Linked DNA regions of Styela clava. The protein of the gene in region 1 purifies or fractionates together with the protein of each later gene. This does not show direct contact. Links are inferred from orthologs where the notes say so. Each region holds a gene or a part of one and is shown on either strand. Other genes may lie near its edges.

Region 1 (7,965 bases):
GTCAGAACCTTTTCAATTGCTCCCAACCAATAACAAGATGAACAACAGCTCATAATATATACAATCCAGAGTCTACAGAACCTTTTTTTATATATTGCGGTAGTGAAAAAAAAATTTGATGAGAAAATCTTTTTTATTGCTCACAATCAGGCACAAGACAAGTGACAGATAATAAAGTATACAATCCTGAATCCACAATAACTTTTTTTTATTTATTGCAGTTATATCTAGTCAAGAGAATTCAGCTTAACAATGAAGGACTATCATTTCTATGAATGAAAATGTGTTTTTGTGTGATACATTTGACAATAATAACATGACTGCATAGTCAACACACTTCTGACATTAATAAGCACATGAAACAAGCACTTATTCACCTCAAAATATTTGACACCAGCTACAGTTCCATCATTTTTTCCTTCCTCTTTATCCAACACAACACCTGCCCAATCACCAGGAGCAAACTGTGTTGGGCCAAGAAATTTTATGACACCTGATTTGGTACCGCTTACCAAAACTCTTGTACCTGAATTTGAAAGAAAAATTTCAGAGATAAAAAGAATAATTTAACACAAATTTAAGTTATTAACATTTCAGTATAATTCTGCAAAGTCGCAGGACTCCCCCAAACTCTCTATATTTCTTGAATTCATTAAGATTGTATTCCATGACATGAGTATTATTTACATAATTTAATGCATCTTGACTTGACAACTTTTAGGAAAAAAAATGATTCCCCATACTGGAAATAAAATTATATGAAACTGTAAGATGCACACTAAAAAGGATTTTAAATCAACTTTAGTAAAAGCCAAATGGTGAAAAGTAAAATTCCACTGTTTAAAACATCCATAAACTAAAATCCTTGAGAAAATTTACAAAATTATATTATAAGCCAAAGTTGAAAAGTGGAAATTGTAAATGAGCATTGCCTGACTAATACAAACAGTTATTGTATGCATTTAAAAATAATTAGGCTACTATGAACTGCAGTTATTCGCTTTGACATTAGACTCAAGAGTGTGGTGGCCGTTGGCTAGGGATATAAGAATGGTTCTGGAAAAAGCTTTTCACAAAATAGTAAAATAACATCATAATCAATCATCATACCTACTACAAAACTACTTCCTACAGATCCTCCACCCGCTGATGAAGTTGCTTTAGGAGGCCTGATTCCGCCTGATATACACAGAAAAATATAAAATTGAAATTAAAACATTTTTTCATTAAATAGTCAGGTTATAGTTAAAGCCAAAAGCAGCTGCGGTAGACAGTCAATTCCTAGTGGGGCCTATATATGAATAAGGTATTTAAAATGTCAACATCTTGATAATAAATGTAATTTTTAGATATACACAAATTTCGGGGCTCCCGAAGTATGCGAACCAAGATGGCGGACATCGGAACGTAATATGTGTACTAGGTTAGGGGTTAGGCCATAATTTTAGGTATAAATACTACGGGAGGCTCTTGGCTAGTCTTCGAACTGATAATAGGACTAAATTAGGGAAAATTGGAAAAAAATTATCGCCTAACCCTAACCTGTTACCCATGTTACGATCCGATGTCCGCCATCTTGGTTCGCATACTTCGGGAGCACCCAAATTTCTTACTCAAATCAGACCAAGGCACAGTTCCCCGATTTCAATATTTCCCGACATTTGATTGAATACAAGAGTGCTACGCACAAATATATGGACACGTTAGACCAGAGCGAATCAGTCTTTACCGGTACCTTTGACGCTACCGGTACCCTCAAAAAAGTTCTAAATTTCCAGTAGCAAGAATTTTGCAGAATCAAAACGTACAGCCAGTCATGACACTGACTAAAATCCGTGTTCCCATGGATAAAAAATAATACAGCAAAATTTTAGACGAAATATCAAATTTCATAGAATGCACGCAAAATTTTGAAATAAATAAAAGTAATAGCCTTCTAGCGAAGAAATTAATCTTTAACCACTGAAAATTTCAAAGCAATTGGTCCAGTATTCGAAGAGAAAAGCGATTTTTTAAAAACATGTCAAAGAACAAGAACAACAACATAATATTGAAACCATCGTTATGGCCACTAAACGTGTCCAAAAACAAACACTCAATTTGTCGTGAAAGCAAGGGCGTCTGGCACAATGGCAGATGCATTGGGAAGTGCCATGCTTTTCTTGATAATAATTCGAATCAATCGTGACATGCGTCGACCCCCAAATGACTAAAATTCGATTCGTATGACATAGTCAGGTGGGGGTTAGAAACCACCTGTGCAAAAATGGTTATGCCACGCCAACTAGAAGTACCATACTTGACGGCATTTAGTGAACTAGCCCCCTTCTATATTGTTCCACACTTCATTTTACATAAAATGGGTTTCTCTGAAACGGGACAATGTCACCCCATTTGTATAGTGTGCTGTTCAGACAAACCCATTTTACAGATGATCAGACACCCCTCTATTGGGAGACGTCTGGACATTGTTGTCCCTCAATTTCAGTAATAATACAGTCTAATGAAGTTACGCAAAATACTACAAAAAAGCGCAATCTAGTAACGTCATCATTGAATTCCTTGGAATAAAATAATCCGATTTACCGGAAGGAAAAATTTTTTACCATAGCATTCAAGAGTTTATAGCAAAAAACGGCAATTTTGGTCATGTGAGGGCCACGATTAACTTGGGTTATTATTGAGACAAGCATGGTGTGATATGACACATCTGACGTGGTCCCAGACGCCCCTCGTTTGTGAGACACAGAGAGTGTTTGTTTTATAGAGCCAAATGGAGGGAAATTCTTGGAATTTGTTTAGTTTGCTGTGAGGGCGATATGAATGCAGGAATGTTCAAATTTTTTAAATTGGCATAAACTATTCAACCTGTAAATAAATAACAAATAAATCTACAAAAACAACATACTCGGCTTTGGAATTCCTTTCGTTATTTTACTGGGTTGCTTCAATCCAGATGGTTTCTCAGCCATCTCTGTCCTTCAGTTTTTCAATTTCGATTCATGCAGAAGTACGTTCCCTTCAATTAATTGTGAAAAATAACGAAATAATCCACTCAATAAATTTTCATTCGATTATTTAGACAACAGATTTCATTTGTGCACCAGAACTAAAGAACTTGTAAACTAAATGAGGAAAACTTGGTAGTCCAGCAACAGTGACGACAGACTTGTTGTGACATTGCTTTCAAGAATAGTACATAATTAGTGCACCTTATCGCGGATAAATAATTATCATACAGCTATCCGGCAGTTGGCGCTATCGGACAATAAATTTATAAATAATTCGATGAAAATATGCTGAGCATAAAATATAATAAGAATTAAAACAGAGGTATATTAATTTATACTAATCTATTTTGGTCTTGGCTGAATATATATATTATTATATGTTACCCTCCTTAATATACCGTATTTGCTCGTTTAATAGCCCGGGCGCTTATTTTTTTAAACATACTCACTAACCCGGCATTCAAACCGGCCCTTATTCAAGCAGGGGCGCTTGTTATTTTTAAAGTAAAATTACACACAAAAATACCGGTAGATAAGATCGATCGTTACAATAATTAATACCGTATATTGTCATTTCCAGTTCTCAAGTATGATTTAAACGAGAATAATGAAAATTTTGACTTTTTCTACGCACCGCAGGTACAAATCCGCAAAAAAAAAAAAACTTTTACACCGGGCGGGTATTCAAGCACCGGCCCTTATATATTTTTATTTCCTGTTCACACGGGCGGCTATTCAAACGGGCCCTTAATTAATCAAGACCGGGCGTTAAAACGAGCATTCACGGTATAAATACAGTGGGAACTCTACCTAGGAAAGGCTTTGGATACGAAAAATCCAACTTACGAAAATTATCATCCTAAAAATATTGCTTAGAGCCTTATAGACGTAAAATTTTCTACATACAAAAGGCCGAAATCCGAAAATAAAAAAAACGCGTGTAGTGATATTTGCTTGTTTTAGATCAATTTAATGCAGGCATGTCCAATTCGTATTTTATATTCGAATATCGCGACTTCCGAATATTGTTTTTTGTGTTTATAAGAATAACGAATATGGCCCAAATTTTCCAGGGCCACCCGTCAACGTTTTGATATAACATTTTACAAATATTTCATATTTTATCGTAATCTTATCAAACGCAGATTTTTCCATTTCTTGCATTTTAGAGCGTATAAAAAAGCACTTTAATATATTTATTCTCAATCGCAGATTTCATCGTTGTCCCGGCGTCGGGGAAACAAAAAATAAAATCATAACAGCCGACATGAAATAGTTGAATCAGCGCCGACTCAAACAATCTCAATTCTCCATTATTGGCGGATGAGAATCGGGTTCACTCATTTGATTATGACGATGATCACGTAAAAACATTTGTGTTTTTCTGAATCAACGAGTGGTTTCGTCACCACAATAAAAATTAAAGCCCGCGGTAGCTGCCCTGAAGACCGCACAGCAACTAGTTGTCATCTTATTGCCACGTTTGTTTCCGCAGGTACGTACGTATTACAATGTATCTCAATCAGTTTCAGTTGCTAGCGAAATTCACTGATAAGACGATTATACACGTAACAGTTGAAACAAAAGAAAATAAATGGTGAAATAATTAAAAGTTGAAAAGATGAAAAAAATAAAAAGAAACGAAAAACCAAAACAAAAGATTCGAATTTTGAATTTCTTGTGTGTGTGCTCATTTTCGAACATTGTCAACTTTTACTGCCTTTTCTCACCTCGTCCAACCGCCGTCCTCCTACTGGCCACGGCTTCCGCTTAGCCTAGCCCAGTCGGCCAACGCCAAAGGTAAACAAACATACCGTCCGTAGTTTTTATTCGGTATTTCTCTGCCCTCTCTTCTTTTCCTATGTACCTTTTTCATTCATTAAGCAGTAAACTTATTCTGACGTGTATTTGTTACGGCTTTTAATCATTATTATAATTCATACGAATATCATGTCCGAGTCCGAGTACGAGTTTTGTGACAGCTTGGAATGGATTAGGGAATTTACAGATAAAATGCGTCCCCACTTTCTACTTATGGAGAGGCTTCCGAAACAAATTAATTGTGTAGGTAGAGTTTCCACTGTAAAAGAAAGTAAAAAAACAAAGTGGATAACGGTTGGACAAAATTTTGGAATTTACATTTTCAAAAAATCCAAATTCCAAACAAAGTTAAATTAGCGATGCTGCATCAGGTGCAGGAAATTTTGCAACATGTTTCTTCTGAAATTCATGTAAATGAATGCTCTTTGTTCTTAGATTATTTCAGCTTTTTTTTCATCGACACTATCTCATCTTTTTCGGCTATTTTCACAAACAAATTTTGTGAATCACCATTTTCATTTTTGCCCCATCAGATTGGATTTAAATTTTGCAAGCGAGCAAGTAACTGAATTATATCAATTAGCGTCCATCGTGAAGCATTCATTAGTAGATAATTTAGTGTTCATATTCTTCTGTATACATTTTCTAATAGTCTTTTAATGAATATTTGCTCAAAGCAAGATCATGTGCACTTCGTCGGTCACCGATCTGTCAAGAACATAACAGCATGATCTTAGCATTATAACAGCATTTTGGCGGTAAATGACTGGTTAGCGTAAAAGTATGTGTAACAAAGCATTCAAAATTAAACAAGAAAAAACTCATTCAGAGAATAGTTTCTATACCAAAGAATACACAATTTTGGAAACCTCGACTGAAACCGGGATATCACATTATTTGCACAAACATTCAACGATTTTAACGGCAGGAACATGGTCAATACTTGGTCTCGTCAATGGGTGGTGTGACGTTGGTAATTATCTGCCAATTAAGTAAGATTTAGTCTCACTTATTTTCGATGACAATAGTGGCGCGGTGAAAGCGCGTAAGTGTGGTAATAGATCAAGCCAGGGTTCGAATCCCACATGGTTAGAACGAGTGGTATAGTGAGACATTTTGTGTAGAGATTGTGAGTTGGGAGTAGACATGAGTGCGAGAGAAAAGGGCCCGTCAGATCCGAAGGTGGTGATGGTGCGCCATAAGGGGACTGGCCAAAGTGAACTAAAGGCAGAAAAAGAAAAAGGCAGTGGAGAGGAAAATAGAAACAGGGAACAAACAGGGACAAAGCAACGAACCGCAAAAGAGAGTGTGAAAATGGAGGTGAAGAACAAGAGTCCGCAAAAAATACATCCACAAAGCAGATACGTCAACGAGGGCAATTCGGGGCATGTTAAAAAGCTAACCAGCCTCCAAAAATAGCATAAAAATAGGTTAAAAGCGGCAATCATAAATGAAGAAGGAAGAAAATAAACATACGTCGACGAGTACATTTCACTCCGTACAAAAACTTCGAAGACTTCGATAATGACTCCTTACTTTGCGTATGTTATTAAAGTGTTTATTGTATGTGTCTCTTATTTAGATTTTCAGCTTATATTTGTTTCCCCTTTTCAAACTTTTTAAACGCAGAAGATTCCGGGTTTGGTCAGGTGTGTAAACATTATTGTATTGTTTCATCCTAAACATTGTGACGACACTTCTGCCGTTGTATGCATACTATATATAAAAAGAACCGCGTTTTATGAAATCAATTGATAGAGATAACTCAAATCATGGATTGGCTTTTCAAATAGTGAATTTTATTTATTGCGTTATATTTAGTTCAGTTCGTAGAATTATCCCTAATACCTCATTATGTGACGCGGGTACTGACACAATCTTTCAATATATTTTCCTGAGTCGCCACTGTACATGTGTCATTATTTGCATACATATGTACTAATTTAGTCACGATGATTTTGTACGGTTCGCTCTGAAACCCAACCCTTGTGAAATAAGTTCAATATACCCTAACATGATCCTTGTTATTTAATTTACATGACGGCATTATTTCGACAATTTTTTTTTTAAAATACAGTGCAATAGACTGGGTGCCTTTTGTTTATGTTATTATGATAATTGCATGTTCAAAGTTCATATTTACGACAAGTGGACGGAGCCAACAAGCCGTAACATAGTCGTTCAAAATGGTATTTTCTCCCAACCGTCGCCAAAACTCCCTTCTAAGGCGTTCGCTGAGTAAGCCAACAAACATGTTATCCTGAATATTTCGATGCAAATATTCGAAGACAATTCAAAGTACACAACTCTTTTACGTCGTGTGGGCGCATTGACTCCTTTGACGTCATGGATATTTAATATACGATTGCTACCGGAATACTTCCAAATAAGTTACGACTAAATAAATTTTTTCCAGGAACGGTCAACCAATAGCATTGTACAATCTGCATTTCAGGCAAATATATCATGCTATGTATATTTAATCAGAATTGAAATGAATAGACAATATATGCGAACGAATTCCCAGGTGGATAAAAGATAATGAAACTTCAATAATATGGAGACACATGTTCTCGATGTTTGTCAGACAAAAAGAATAGTAATCATATCTGTGCAAGTGTGGAAAAAACGATGGCTTAACTGTAGAATTCCAAACAACACTACGAATATGCGAATATACTGCAACTGCACTGTTGTGTTTACGTATGTCATGAAACAAAGGAGTTCTAAATACGCCAATTACACGCCATTGGGGTAGCCGGTAACGGCTTCATTATCAAAACAGACAGCAAATAGAGGTCTTGAATTAGAAAAAGCAAAATTAATCACCTAAAATGAGACCAGCTCTCACAGAACTAGTTGAAGATATGTTGAAAATAAACCGCTGCCAATTCACATTGTTTTATTAGAAGTTGAACTAACATGTTTTTTTCTCAGATCTTTTGTGTTAATTCGTCGAAGTTTGAATTCAGCTGAGATAGCATCGTTTTTTTTACCAAGAATGTAATAAATATTACCAGAAAAATATTTTTAAACTAGAGAATATATTATATTCATCATTTTGAAAGATCAGTTCATATCTGCACAATGTAAATTCGTCTTTTTATGCTTCAATGGAGTCATAATGACATGG
Region 2 (8,452 bases), on another chromosome or scaffold:
GGACTGAGGTTGCCGATGTTTTTCACAAAAAATGGCAATTTCCAAACTGTTTGGGCGCTATTGATGGAAAGCATGTTGTTGTTAAATGTCCTAGCAATGCTGGATCGTTGTATTACAATTACAAAAAAACGCATAGCATTGTGCTCCTGGCTATTGTTGATGCATGGTAAATATTAAACCTGATTTTGTATCACACTAATTTGTATTCATAGGTAAACAATTTTTGTAACTTACCACTTGTGGTTGCTTTCTATGAATGGCTAAATAAATTAGAAACCAATTATTTCCCAATATTATGTGGATTATACATGGGCATTTATTCCAAACAGTGCCATCAAGAATTCAATGAAATTCATATTTTTCAGTTATAAATTTCTTGCGGTGGACATTGGCGCCTATGGCAGAGCAAGCGATGGGGGAATATTTGCGAACTCATGTTTTGGCCGTCGCTGCAGAATGGAACCTTGAGTCTACCCTCACCAAGGTGGGTTATTTAAGCTAGTAGTCCACCTAGACTTGAAAATGACTGCTGATGTTTTTTTCTATAACGAAACAGGCTATGATTTTTCTTTACACCTAAGTAATAAAGGCTTATTATTTTAACAACTTAGTAATAACCCATAAAAATGAAGCATGTTTATGCAGAAAAACCTCCTACCTAAACCTCATTTTGTATTTCTGGCTAAATAGGGCAAATTTATTTTCAGGCCATTGCCAGTAACGGATGGACCTACTGTTCCGTTCGTATTCATTGGGGATGAAGCCTTTCCCTTGAAAGAAAATCTGATGAGACCATTTCCTGGCAATGGTCTCTCGCAGGAGAAAAGAATCTTTAATTATCGCCTATCGCGGGCAAGAAGAATGGTAGAGAGCACATTTGGCATCTTAGCTAATCAGTGGAGAGTCTATCACAGACCAATACCATTGAAGCCCAGCAATATCGACTCTGTCATAAAGGCAACATGCTGCCTACACAATTTTTTGAGAAGAGATGTTGCTGGGGCTGCACCAGTTGACGATAATATTACAGTGTCCACTCAACTGCTGCATGACATACCCGGGAGTGGTGGCCGTGCAACACAGCGCACAATCTGTTCGCAACACCTTTGCCAACTACTTTGCAGGGGAAGGTGCTGTGCCCTGGCAATGGCACCATTGCTGATCTTTTAACAATTTTATAGATGATTACTGAACTGCAGAGGTATTACAAATCTGATATGCTAGTATATTTGGTACTCCCTAAGGATGTGAACCAAGATGGACACCTGAACCTGGTATGTTTACCAGGTTAGGTTTAGGCCATAATTTATTCCAATTTTCCTTATTTTAGTTCGGGGACTAGACAAGCGACTCCCTTAGTATTTGTACCTGAAAATTTTGCCTAAACCTAACCTGGTAGACATACTAAGTTCGGTGTCTGCCATCTTCGTTCACATACTTCAGGATTACCATATAATCAATAATTGAAAACAATGTGTTCCAAGTAAATTATATTTCCCCAAATTCGATGTTGTACAGAAGCTCGTGAATTTTAATTTTCGCAAGTTGCAAACGTTGTACTGGTAGCCTGCGTAGAGTATCTACGAGGCTCAATGCAAATTTTTCAGCATCATCACTCTCTGTATGTAAATAAAGGTATGATTATTAGATTGGAAATCATTTGTGTGACACAAATATGCCTCATGGAAAGGTTTTAGAATTAAATACCTTTGTTGACAAGACTCATGATAGTTTCGTCAAGATCAGTCGCTTTTGTAAGTGCATCTTTATCAGATGCTGATGTAGTGCAACTGGTGTTCATATTAGGTAAGTTGTCAGCTTCACCACTCATTTGGACATTATTTCCATCTTGGAGCACCACAAGAGTGACATCCTCGTCAATATTTGAAGACGTTCTTTGGAAAAGAGTAAGTTACATGGTCATAGTTTGGGGTTCCGAGATCTGGAGTAGTCAGTCAGTCATTTGCGACCGTTGATACTGTGGGGTAGGGATTAGAAATATTATTGCGTTTGTTACGAAAGCAAATAATACTTACGTTCGAAAGTCGACGTGCTCGTCTAGGAACTTTAGCACCTCCATGCTCTATATCCCCCTGCTGCTGCCCCACTCCTCGTAGCCTCTGATTCCCTTCTTTTCTCTTTCCTATACCTATACTTTGTAGATCTCCATCTGGTCTTACAATCTGTCACTGAAAAGCAATTAACTTTGAAGTTTATTCTGTTATCTTGCATTTACTTAATTTCTTCCTAATTGGTTTTAGATGCAATATAGTAACAGATAACTATTCTAGGCTCATACTCATTTTCTTACCACTTCTTCCCAACGCCTCTGCGACCTCTTCCCACGCCTTTCCCTTTTTAATTGTATCCCTGTAGGCTGCTTCTTTTTCAGCGTAAAGACACTTCCTTTCTCTGACCTCAACTATGAGATGTTCTAAGTCCATACCTGCCATACCGATATCTAATCAATCTGTATAAAAATCATTGTACATTTTTCATTGTTTTGAAAATAATAACTATCATTGATATACAACGGCATTATACAATCGCCAAAACGTCTCAAATTTATATCCAAACAACAGCTGTCTTACCTACTCTGCTCTTAAACACAATGCCTATCAAGTTCCTGATCCAAAATACGGGCACCCGGAATATGACCTTTTGACATGCGTCAACGCAACGCAGTGTGAACAAGTTCAGCGCATTGCGTTGCATCTGCGTCAAAATATAACGCAACGCACTGCGTTGGTGTGAATGGGCCCTAACACGTAAACAAACATGATTGTAAACAAATGTCTAAAACTATATAAACACAAAGAATTCATTTCGGTCGCCACAACATTTAAATTCATTCGGTATATATAGTACTGTATATGTGTGAAAAAGGCCTAGCTTGAGTTTTATGTTTTGATTCCACTGCCTTTTCAGTCTTGTTTTTTAATGAGCCAATCTTGTTCGACTGGGAGCTAGACATCACTCAAAAACTTGTTATGATTAGATCAGATGGCTTTGATTAGGTCACCAGTATTTATAATGCTAATATAAAAATTATGCTGCACCATGTCGCCATTCCATGTAGCTAAAACTGGTTAGTACGTAAGTGAAGTTTCCCATAATATGTAGTATTCTTTACGTGTGCTCACGTTTCCATGGCAAATTTCACTACTGTATATGTTTCCATCAAAGGGTGACTGACCTAAATAAATTGCGGCTAAGCCGGGCTAAGGCATATAACACATTGAACATCCACCAATGTGTTGATGAATTCCCCGTCACCAACTATCAATGTACCGATATCTATCTCATGATTGCTACAATTCAGGAAGGTAAAGGAAGCCGTGTCGGTAACCGTCAAATGGTGGTATAAACCAATTTGCGGGTACTAGAGGAGTTTAGTAGGGACACTCCGAGGCATAAACCATTTCACGGTGACTAGGGGAGTTTAGGATCCCTCATTGACACCGAAAAAAGAATATGTAGCCAATTTATGGTCACATCGCATGGTCCGGGTCGACACCAAAGGCGCCGCACAAATATTGTTTTAGACGTCGGTACCAATCAAAGTGACTAAAACGTAAGCAATTTGGTGCCAATTACTTAATGCGAACTTTAATAAGGTAGTTCCCAAATAAACGCCGGTACGGTACTGTCGTTTCTGAGCGAAAACTTGAGGTGCGAAATATTACGCTATCAATATTAAACCGTGGTAGATTTCAAAAACAACAGTGAAATGAATAGACTAGATACGAGTCACATTGTATCTGGTATTGGTACCGGTATTGATGTATTGCAAAGTTCTGTAGTGGTAGTAAAACTAATTCTCTTTTGGCTGTTTGGTCAGTCAGTTGGTAGTCTGAAATTGCAGAATTGGGATTTAGTCATGAACTGAGAATATTTTTTTTCTTTATTCAGTTATTATATACACAAATTCAAAATGGAGAATTATGGAGAGCGGAAAAACCTTTAAAAAGTTTAAAACATGAGAGATATCATGTGCCCGCCCACCAGCACACACACAAAAATAAATTACAAAAAACACAAACCTAGTAAAAACGAGGCTTGGGCCAGAAATAATCATACAAAAGATACTCGAATGTATTGAACTTCCGGTCCAGCGGTTTGTTATACTTTTTGAACACCTGGCATCAACATGACCTTTTATGCAGTTTGAGGTAATGCTCAGCATTACTAGGTTTACATACAGACATACAGAAGTCTATAAATTTGAGTCTGGTCACTATTACACCAAAGTCAGAAAGTCACCCCAGCCTACATATGCTCAACCTGCGCTCAACAGTTCTGCAGTTTAACCAACTATTTTCCTATATTTTATTCGCTTTAAAACGATATTCCATAAAAACTTTGTTGCTCAAATAATATATAGACCAGGTGATACATCCCACACAAACAGACAAATGCAAAATCAGGTCTGCAGGTACACCGAGTATGGCCTAACAAAAACAAGTGTGGGCTGGCCTTCTACAGTTCTAGCAATGTTAGACGACAAAATTACAGTACTGCAGTAGTAGTCTGAGTTGAATCGATCACTTCAGCACTAGTTAAATCTAACAGCCGTTAGTTGATGTCAAGTTATTTTATTGAGTTGAGTGTAGTCACTTTGATAAAAAAGTAACCCAAGTACAATTAGAGTTATCTGTCAAGTCCATAACTCAAGCTTCATAGCTTCAAGACTCGGCCTCATAGTTTATAATTATCGAGGCGAGTGATTCACTTTTTATTCTCAGTATGGTATACATAGCCGAAGACGTTTGGTTCCACAGAAGTGTTTGTGGCCCACTAAGTTAAAAGAACGCTTAAGACTTTTTGCTGGAGAACCAGTTTGATTCACTCTTTCACTTATCAATATATTTTTCTATTCTTTTCTTTTGTATAATGTAATTCCAATTAGGATTCAATTAAATTTTTTGCCCGTGTTTTTTGTTTACAATGATGTCATTTTTAAGATCGTTTAACCAGCTAACTGCCCACACTCAATAAATTATTCAAAAAGATACATTTCTAATTGAAATCAGAGCTTGAATTCAGTTTTACGAGTAGTTTTACACTCAAATTGCATGAAAATTTTGTTATTTTTGTCAAGGAATTTAACCTAATTGTTAAGTTAATTACCATTTGTTCATGTAGCTTGTGTACCAATGATCTTTTGATAGCTTGTTACAACCTGAACTCAGGAATCAGGACGCAACGATGGATAGCGGGAAAGTTGTTTGGGCTCCGCACCCTGAACATGGATTCATGCTGGGAACCATCACTGATATTGGTCACAGCACAATTACAGTTCAACCATTTTCGAAAAATGAAAAGGTATTTTCATTTTTCCAGATTTTTGCGTTTTATTATTTATTTCATTGAGACATAGTAAAAGTGGATTTTTTAGTATTGGATCCAATAACTTGTCAGAAAACGAAGAATTTAACCTGAATTTTAATGATTGTCATTGTTTTTCAGCCCACGTCTGCCCCTTACAGCCAAGTGTTTCCATCTGAACCAGACAATAATAAAGAGATGGATGACAATTGTGCTCTCATGTACCTCAATGAAGCTACTCTTCTCCACAACCTGAGAGTGAGATACAAAAAGGATAAAATTTATGTAAGTCTTGATATAACTTATTTGGTAGGATTATAAATATTTAAAAGAAAATGATTTTCGTAATGTGATACGGAAACTAATCTAGATTTTTATTAACTTGAGTATAAACAAGGTTGGGGAATCTCGAGGTTGACATGTTTTTATTGGTTGATATTATTTTATTTTTCTTCAAAATTTCAAGTCAATACAAAATTTTTGTCAACCCGGGTCCTGAACCCCATATCCCTGACCATCGGAATAAAACTCTGCTCGGCGGTGTGGTTCATCATGCTAAGCATTGGGAATACGCTCGCCACCGGCGCACTGCACCTCTGATCATCCTGCGTGTGTTTGCAGGTTCGAATCCCTTGTGGGGATAGTTATGTGCAAGAGGATTGCAGGACCCCTCACTGCCTCCACCATCAAGGCCATGTTTCCAAATACCTGGCTAACTAAGACCAAACACGAATTTTAGGAATAGGATTTAGATATTTATCCCGGGGGATACAAAAGCCGATAAGACAGACGGCTTATCCATATGGCGAACCACGGCCTCTCGTCCGGTTACCATTCCAAGTCGGGTATGGGATTAGTTATATTGTTATTTTTCGGAAGCATGGACTTGGAGGTGGTGGAGGAAGCCGTAACCGACCAGCGGTTACATGAACATGAAGGCGAGGAGTCCAGCAATCCTCTCGCACATAACCATCCCTGCATGGCATTCGAACCTGCGAACCCACGCAGAGTAATTAAAGGTGCGGGGGCGAGCATATTCCTAACGCTTGGCCCGTTGAGCCAGACCGCCACGCCAGTTAGTATTCAGTCAGTTCAGTTAGTATTTCCTAATTGTTTGTTGGGGACTCTTGATTTTGCTTTGTCCAAACTTATATAAAATGTATCTTGTTTTGTTCAGACTTATGTAGCTAACATCTTGATTGCTGTGAATCCCTACAAAGAAATTAAGAAGATGTATGATGCTGATTCCATAAAAAATTACAGGGGAAAATCTCTGGGAGTGATGCCACCTCACTGTTATGCAATAGGCAAGTACAGTTATAAAGTCTTTTCATGAATACGTAGGATTTCTGCCACCACTTGTTTATCTTCCAGCATTATTAATGATATTTGGTTTGATTTATTTATGATATTTCAAAATACTTTGGCACGTTTTTCAACGTTTAAAAGCAAAGGGAGTTTAACACTGTTAATTGCGTTTTCATGGTTTTGAAGGTTTAATTTGAAACTGATTATTTTCACCATTCTGAATAAGAAATATTATTTGATTATCTGAATAGTTGCTGTCCGTATACATTGGACAAGCAGCCCCCTTTTTTGGAAGTATCAGAATCTTCACATCCCATTCGATATTGCTAACCCAATTTATTCGTTTTGGATGGTGTAGTATGTACGGGGTTTTATTTGACATGTGAATGTGAGTCCAGGGATGTCCAAAACGAATCGAATGTCCGATTGCATTCAAATTTCATTTTATTCAATATAAAAAAAATTTGAATTTGGGAATTTAGAATCTTTACTGTATATTTGAAAATTAGAGATAATGGACTGCCAAACAAGCAGATTAAAAAGATTCTATATTTATGTTGTTTTAAATATGATCGAATGAAGAAATACCGGTATTGATTTATGTAATTTTCCACGTAAACTCGCCCCCAAATTAGAATGTACTCGGTATTCCATAATCAAGACTATTTTCTCAGAATGTATTCTGAATTGTAAAATTTTCGGTTTTGGCCATCCCTGTATGACACCAATATAGTTAGGATAGTCATAACACAATAACCACAGACCATTACAATTGTATAACTGTTTCATAGAAAAATATAGCTGCTCGTATTTCTAAGATGTGACAGAAGTACAAGCAAATTATGATTTTCCATTATTCAACTTCCCAGAGGAGTTAACACCGCCCTTTTTTGAGCCAACACGTCTTTTATGTCAATTTTATTACTTAGCGTGTCGGTGAATTTTGAATTTGATAGCTAGTTTGATTGTTTAAACCGGGTTATAATAGTGTTTACTCTTGTTGTAACTGGTTATTACTTATTATTTTCACCAATTCATTGTTTGTTTTGCTTCGGTATTATACTGAGCTGGAATGTATTGAAAGGATTATATTGTAATTTTTTCATATTCATCATAGTTGAAGATATAATAAACTACCTGTCTATTGGCTATTGCGTTTCTTTGGTAATATGCAGCTTGATAATTTATTTGCCAAAAATTGATATGAAAAAATACTGGTATATCCGATACCTGGGGTTTACTATGGGTATAATTTATTATCTTTTTTTTGTGGTAATTGACATCTGAATTTTCGGAAGTTATTTGAGGTATTCATCAAATCAAATTTAAATTTGAAATTATCAAAAAAAAATTTAATAAAAAATTACTCATGAGAAATGTTTTCAACTGATGTTATAAAACTTTCACAACACTGCCTAATTTATGAATAATAGCAATCTTCAAAATGCTCCAACACCGCTACTGATCGACTAATTTTTTGTAATATAAATAAAATCAAATATGATGGGTGTGTCCAACTTTTTATAAAAAATCAGGAATGGAAAAATAATTTATTGTAAAGAATTTTAAAAATTGATATCGAAAGATTATTATTTTTATTCTCTATTGATTTCTTCATTCTATAAATTTGAATGTTTACATTCATTTATGCAGAGTAAAGATATTTCTAAAATAGCAATTTTGTTGTATGAACTATAGACATTTAAGTGACGTAATTTTGTGTGTATTGATTAAACACACATACCTACCGGGTGGGATGGTACGTGTATCTCTGTCTATTTAAGTTTATGATTGACTATATAATTCGTATCACAAA

What was found. The genes of interacting proteins can lie anywhere in the genome.
Region 2: the proteins of uncharacterized protein LOC120345352 (region 1) and unconventional myosin-VI-like purify together in Drosophila melanogaster (affinity purification with western blotting; 3 studies listed by BioGRID, with this or other methods). This does not show direct contact. The link is inferred for Styela clava from reciprocal best matches to the Drosophila melanogaster genes CLIP-190 and jar.

The regions. Positions count from the first base shown.
Region 1 is NC_135257.1:14,317,070-14,325,034, forward strand, and holds the start of uncharacterized protein LOC120345352, read right to left. Parts: upstream 3,170-7,965; 5' UTR 2,973-3,169; coding exon 2,909-2,972; intron 1,180-2,908; coding exon 1,111-1,179; intron 527-1,110; coding exon 378-526; intron 1-377. UniProt on the Drosophila melanogaster protein: Together CLIP-190 and jar may coordinate the interaction between the actin and microtubule cytoskeleton. May link endocytic vesicles to microtubules. May play a role in formation of furrows during cellularization.
Region 2 is NC_135259.1:12,111,463-12,119,914, reverse strand, and holds the start of unconventional myosin-VI-like, read left to right. Parts: upstream 1-5,097; 5' UTR 5,098-5,208; coding exon 5,209-5,325; intron 5,326-5,469; coding exon 5,470-5,613; intron 5,614-6,505; coding exon 6,506-6,635; intron 6,636-8,452. Other genes in the region: uncharacterized protein LOC144411613, read right to left, coding at 1,489-1,619, 1,708-1,895, 2,037-2,080. UniProt on the Drosophila melanogaster protein: Myosin is a protein that binds to actin and has ATPase activity that is activated by actin. Together CLIP-190 and jar may coordinate the interaction between the actin and microtubule cytoskeleton.